Danio rerio: one gene and its partner. The protein of the gene in region 1 purifies or fractionates together with the protein of each later gene. This does not show direct contact. Links are inferred from orthologs where the notes say so. Each region holds a gene or a part of one and is shown in the gene's direction. Other genes may lie near its edges.

Region 1 (2,870 bases):
TATGTTAAAGAGCCGCTGAGCTAGCAGCTGACAGGCTGTCAGCATAAACGCTGTATTTCTGACGGCAGACACGTGAACTAGGAGAACGTTTTTCTCGTATTTCTGACGCGCTTGAACCACATGTGACAGATTATAACGGCTTTAACAGACACATTTCTAAGTTGTGTGTCACAAAAACACTCTGTTATCCATTACAAACGTTATTGAAACCCATTTTCGGAGTGTAAATAACCAGTTGTAAATGCTGTAAACGGAAGTTTTTAGCATTCTACAGGAAGACGCTGGTCGCTATGGTGCCCTCCATGCAGCAGCCATGAAAAAGGTCTATAGTAAGGACATTTCTTCTGTTGAACACAAGTAAATATTCTAAAGAAAGCTGGAAATCTGTAACTACTAAATTTAATGTTATTTGTTTTAAAGGTTTCCACCATTCTTCAAAATATCTTTTAATGTTTTTGTTCAACAGAATAAATAAACTTATAAAGGTTTGGAATCATTTGAGGGCCAGTAAATAAAAATTTTAAATGTTTTATTTTTTTGTGAACTATTCCTTTAAACGCATCCAAACAATCCTGTGCCTCATATGCTGTAGCTGAAGATTGAAAAAGTTTCATTGTGTTGTTCAGTGCTGTGGTGTTTTACTGAATGCTGGTTTCTGCTGTTCAGATTAATAAACAGAATGAACAGATGCACGGGCTGCTGGCCATCGCTCTCACCATGTACCCGATGCGCATCGATGAGAGCATTCACACACAACTGCGCGAGAAATACGGCGACAAGATGCTGCGCATGCAGAAAGGGTGAGAGAGACACACACATGCACGCACACAATACACACCACAGTAGTGACTGTGAATATAGATGTTTCTCCTGCATTTATTTGGTAGAGTGCAGTGAAGAATGCAATAATTTGAAGTTGTATTACAAGTTAAAATAAGTAATGGTTTTGTGAATATTTAAAAAATGTTATTTCTTTAATTTAAAGCTCTTTTTATTAGCATCATTATTCCAGTCTTCACTATAACATTATCCTTTAAGTCAGGGGTGTCCACACTCAGTCCTGGAGGGCCGGTGTCCTGGAGAGTTCAGCTCCAACCCTGATCAAACAAACCTGAACCAGCTAATCAAGCTCTTATTAGATATACTAGAAACTTCCTTGCAGGTGTGATGCAGCAAGTTGGAGCTAAACTTAGCAGGACACTGGCCCTCCAGGAACGAGTTTGGACACCCCTGACTTAAGGGATTCTTTAAGGGAAATCTGAGAAAATGTTCATCACCAAAGTGATTTTGCCTGGATAATTTCCTCCTGGAATTGTGTTCACAAGCATAAAGAACAAACATAAAGACTTCACTTTCCATTTTAATGTGAAGCAAATCTTTCCAAAGTTCACAAATAAAAGTACTATTGGTAACCTAGTAACCAGTAAACAATGCAAGCATAATGGAGACAGCTGATTGGTTACATGGAATGTAATGTCTCCTGTTTTATTCGCATAAAGAAATTTGCAAATAATTACCCATCCTTTGCTCATTTTAGAATAGAATTTAACTCCCTTCCTAAATTACCTTATCTTATTAAGAATAAAAAAGTAAGATTCCTGAAATAAACAGATGTATTTAAAGAAGATCCTTGATTTTAGCTGCTTTCCTTGTGGTTATTAGTTTGTGTCATTGTAATTTAATTCATTTTTTAACTTATTTTTTGTTTAATTTAGTAATTTTTTTTTTGTTTTGATTATTAATACTGTATTATTATTTTTATTTTTTAATGGTATATTATTTGTATTTTCATCAGTATGTATGTTTATTTGACAATTGTGTTTTCATACTTTTCAAGGCTAAAACAGAGCAAACATACAATTTTTTTTTTTTTTTTTTTTTTTTTTTTTTTTTTTGAATTACGGCATTTCTGTATGAAAATTGGCATTTCCATCACTTGTTTACCATGAGATGCTTCAAAATGTGTATTAACACAGGCTGATGGAAACAAAGCCAGTGGTGGTTGTTTCTTGTGTGGTCTGCTGCTTTGAGAGATGACACATTGCTAAAACCATTGCAATTGTTTGCAAGTGTTTTGTGCAATTATGCAATTATTCCGATTTCTTTTTCTTTTGTCACTCAGAGATCTGCAGGTGTTCGAGGAGTTGTTCAGTTTTGCCTGCCCCAAGTTCCTGTCGCCGGTAGTTCCAAACTATGAAAACGTTCATCCAAATTACCACAAAGAGCCATTCCAGCAGCAGCTAAAGGTGTTTGCAGAGGAGGTCCAGCAGCAGGCGCAGCTCTCCACCATCCGCAGGTACAGCAGTTCTCTGACGTCTTCTGAGGAACAATCTAATCAGTGTTTTTCTCCCAGCAAGGCATTATCAGATATTCATAAGGACACTGTGGATATTGTAATACTTGAATGTTAAATTTAGGTTTTTTCTTATGTTATTGAATTATATTTTCCTATTTTTGGTTGTGTGGTAAAAAATGTAATCTATGTTTAGGGATTTTTTTAAATTTAACAAAGTAATAATTTTGAGTATTTTTGCACTATTTTTTGGCCAGTTATGGATGAATGAATGACATTCTCTTCTGTAATTTATGCTACTTTTTTCTTTCCGCTACTATTTTTGTTGGCAAAACAATTGATTTTTAGTGATAGATATTAAGGCTGCACAATATATCTCAAAATTATCGTTATTGCTCGTTATGACAAAATCATTGTGGTATTTGAGTATATGTATTGCAGACATGTGTAATAAATCATATTTTTTTTATTATGCATTGTTTGTTTATCTAAATTTTACTAATCAATAAAGATGGGGCCTTGCTTTCTTTATCCCCGCCTCAGTAGTTGCTGTTCTGCTATTGGCTGGAGTGACCCA
Region 2 (4,231 bases), on another chromosome or scaffold:
GAATGAGGCATAAAACTGAAAGCTGTAGTAATGAAATAAGAGCTGAAGCAATTGTTGATGAGAGATGAGCGATGCGCAGCACACAAACAGCATGGGAAGTAGTAGTGGTTTTATCAAATTATGTACATTTAGGGTTCTGTTTTAAATAGGTTCTGTTTGGTCCTATGAAACACTATTTAAACACTATTGAAGGTGTATGATGGTGATTCATGTCATAAGCATGGCAGGTCCATGAGAGTAAAATTGTGGATTTCTCTGGGTTTGAACATTCTTCAAAACATTTGGTATACTGCAAGTACAAAAGTCAAAAAGGTGGTACTGGACATTTCATTTATAGCACATTATTTTCTTCATTCTCTGTTTTCACCTGGGGATTCTTATCCCGAGGCGCCTAGATATTTTGCAGCACCATTAATGCGATCCTAGAAATGATGCCAAGGTCTTTATAATCCTGGACCAGGCCGAATCCTGAGCTGACGCTGCGGCAGTCATAGAGAGCAAAAGACTGATTCCTGAAAGACCCCAGTGACAGAAGAGCCTTCACATTGGTCCTGTGGGTTAGCCTAAGCACCCGCCGGTGACCTACTCACACCTGCAGTTCTACATAATGGACGTTCAGCATTCTCCAGCATCTGGCGCCTAGACTGCAGCTCTGCACAGGAAGTTTGGCCATGGTCATGCCCAATTGAGCCTAGTTTCTTTCAAGGTTTTTTTTTCTTCACTTTCATCAATTGGTAAAGTTTTTTTTCTTGCCACTGGCTTGCTTGGCTTGGGACATTTGCTCTTCAGTGTTTGGACTTTCAACAGTGAAATTTAAACCACACTGAACTGAAATAAATTGAACCTCAACTCTGAAAACTGGATTTAGAGTTTCAATCTACTAAAACTTCTATCTAGGTAAAGCTGCTTTGACACTGTCTACGTTGTAAAAGAGCTAAAGAAAAAGACATGAATTTAATTTTAATAGAAAAATTGTACATATTGTGCCTTTAAGTTTGCATATTTTATAATAGTATAGAAATGTTTTGATTGTTATTAACTTAGTGTTATTGTCTATCTATCTATCTATCTATCTGTCTGTCTGTCTGTCTGTCTGTCTGTCTGTCTGTCTGTCTGTCGCCAGAGATGGACAATAGAACTGATGGTAACATTGCGCGCTCTTGTACGGGAGGTTCTTGTCACATGAACAGGAAGTTCAGAGAGCGATAAGCAGAAGACGAGACCAAGTTCACTTAAAAGGGGTCTGCCATGTCATATTCCACAACAAAACTACACATTGTATACAATTTAACCAAATATCATAAAAGTGTTAAGCTCACATAATCTGCCAATGAAGCAAATTTTTATCCTTTTCCTTCAATTATGCTGTACATGAATCCTAACGCTCCAACAGAGCCCTGAGGTGCTCTCCGCGCACATGGTACGGTCCTTCTCTCGCTCGCAGTGGTTGGCGCCGGCTGCTTTGCACATGGCCGAGTGAGTAAAATATCTGGATTACTGCTGTGAAATTCACCACCACCTTCTAACCAGCACAGACCCACAGCAACCGATCTCTAAATGCGAGATACGGAGAACATGGAGGCCGAAATGGAGTATGACGATGAAGAAGAGCCTTCGTTCAGTGATCCGGAGGACTTCGACGATGACATCAGTGATCAGGGTGAGAGAGAGGCCTGCTTTAGCGCGCCTGCCGATCCCAGTCTCACACTAAACCCCATAGCTCAGCATGTCAGCCACGAGCTAACACAAAAATCCTTTGGTTTATTTGTGTGTCAATCTTTCAAGCTGATAAACTACGCTGTTTCACAGTTAATGCCGTTTTATGTTAGTCAAAGCTTCTCTTTAAGTCCAGCATGTGCGCGAACTAGACAAAAGCATCTTAGCAGTAGCTTTAGGGAAATAGACTAACGTTAGTGTCGTAACAGCATAGAGTCAGCAGCTGTTATGCTTTTGGCTTCAGAAACGTCATTGTACTGCCGTTTTGCTTTAACAAATGCTGTTGTGCTAACTGTACTAACTCTATCTGTGTGTTTTCTGGTCATTCAGAGCTGCTGGGGGATGTTCTCAGGGACAAACCGCAGGAGGCTGACGGCATCGACTCAGTCATCGTGGTTGATAATGTGCCTCAGGTCGGACCTGATCGCCTGGAAAAGCTCAAGAACGTCATTCACAAGATCTTCTCAAAGTTTGGCAAAATCACCAATGAGTTCTACCCTGACGCAGATGGAAAGACCAAGGGGTATGTTTGGGTCTGCTTGGTGCGTTTTGGGATGTAGGGATGCACCATTGGTGACATTTAATCAATAATTGATGCAATACGTAAGGGTAGTTCACCCAAGCATCAACATTTAGTCACTGTGAAGTTGGTTCTAAATGCTTGTTTTTATTTTTTCTAAAATTGTTTGGACGAATGTTGGAAACTAACCAATGATATCCGTAGTATGAACGTTTTTATGGGATTCTATGGCTTGCTGGTTCCAACATTCCTCAAGACATTTTCTTCTCTGGTGCTCGAGTAAATTACAGCATTTTCATATTGCTTGAACTATCTCTTAAATTCATTAGACACTTTATTATAAAAGAAAACAAATATTTAAGTAATCTGTCAAATGCCATTAAAACTAACTAAAAACCAATAATGTTTATTAGCAAAACACAAACTGCATTTGCAGAAAACTGTAACATTGCACAAATATAACTTATCTTTCTTCATATCTTATTATCTTCATATTGAAATCTGCAAGTAATTAACTGCTATTGGGCATCTCGATAAATGGTCTTAATGTGCTTCTTTTTTTTTTTTTAAACATATGCTTTCAAGTCTTTCTTGTAAATTTGGAAGTTCTCAGATAACAATTATTTTAATTTGACGTTACAAGTACTACTGTGTGTGACTAAAAGGCTTAAATGTATTGGTGGTTTAACCATTACAGAAAAAAAGAGGGCAGCTGTGGCACAAACCTTACATTTTTTTTATGGTCTAATAAAATGAGTTGAGCACAAACTATCTGTATTAGTTTTTAGGTTTCTGTTAAGGTTTTAAAGTGTATATGTGTACTAGTTATTAATGGCATGTTTGCAATGTTGTATATATTTTCTATGGATTATAGGACGTATTGACAGATCGCACTATTATGTCTTCTTTTTCATTCTTTTAAAACCTATTTATTCTTTGTTGATTTTATTTTCTTATACTTTTATTCCTGTTTATGTAAAACACTTTGAATAACCACTGAGTATAAAATGTGCTATAGATATAAACTTGTCTATAATAATTTTCCATGCTTTATCATTACAGGTACATTTTCCTAGAGTATTCTGCACCAAGTCACGCTCATGAAGCGGTAAAAAACGCTGATGGCTACAAGCTGGACAAGCAGCACACCTTCCGTGTCAATCTGTTCACTGACTTTGACAAGTAAGTTATCTTTTAGGGTCTGCAGTAGTGTACTGCAATAGGTTGCTTTAATGAAAGAACCTTTACAGTGTTGTATAATTTATACTCAGTATTGTCTATCATTTCCAGAATGCATTTTGGCAAGCTGTTTCTAATGCCTCAAACTTCATTTAGGGCAGATCAGTTCGTCTCTCAATTTAGCTTGAAATATATCAGGGCTGTGCAGATGCTGATATCAGTATTAAAAAAATCTATTAATATTTAATAGATTAATATTAAAATGTAATTTTTTGATACCTTTTGGGATATTTCACCCCAATTGTCGCCTTTCTTTTGCTTTAAGCAAATATTTCAGCTTCTTTCTTCTGATGAACAAAAATGAAGATATATTGCAAAAAGCTGAAAACTGGTAGTCATTGACTTGTATTTTTGTTTCACTATGGAAGGCATTGGCTACCATTATCCAACATTTTTAAAATATATTTTATGTTCGAAAAATAAACTCCTGTAGAGTTGGAACCACATGAGGGAGAGTAAATGGTGAGAATTTATGTTATTTTTGGGTGAACTTTCCTTTTAAATAAAGCATACTACTTGGACTGCATGATGTTGGAAATAACTGACGCTACAATGTTAGATTCTATGTTTATTGCAATATGAAAACAATTTGACAGGATATCTTTATTTAGAAAAGAATGTTTTATTTTTGAATGACTGGGGTGATTTTGCAGAGGAGTAACTCTGCATATAAATAATATCAAATTACAAATCATAAATTAATGGAATAAAACAAAGACCGAAGTAAAAGAAACATTGCTTGTTTTCTGGGCAGTC

The links. The genes of interacting proteins can lie anywhere in the genome.
Region 2: the proteins of eif3s6ip (region 1) and eif3ba purify together in Homo sapiens (affinity purification with mass spectrometry; 8 studies listed by BioGRID and IntAct, counting the BioPlex papers as one, with this or other methods). This does not show direct contact. The link is inferred for Danio rerio from reciprocal best matches to the Homo sapiens genes EIF3L and EIF3B.

The regions. Positions count from the first base shown.
Region 1 is NC_133188.1:46,821,886-46,824,755, reverse strand, and holds part of eif3s6ip (eukaryotic translation initiation factor 3 subunit L), read left to right. Parts: intron 1-666; coding exon 667-800; intron 801-2,122; coding exon 2,123-2,296; intron 2,297-2,870. UniProt on the Homo sapiens protein: Component of the eukaryotic translation initiation factor 3 (eIF-3) complex, which is required for several steps in the initiation of protein synthesis.
Region 2 is NC_133178.1:40,718,258-40,722,488, forward strand, and holds the start of eif3ba (eukaryotic translation initiation factor 3, subunit Ba), read left to right. Parts: upstream 1-1,427; 5' UTR 1,428-1,557; coding exon 1,558-1,660; intron 1,661-2,046; coding exon 2,047-2,239; intron 2,240-3,298; coding exon 3,299-3,418; intron 3,419-4,231.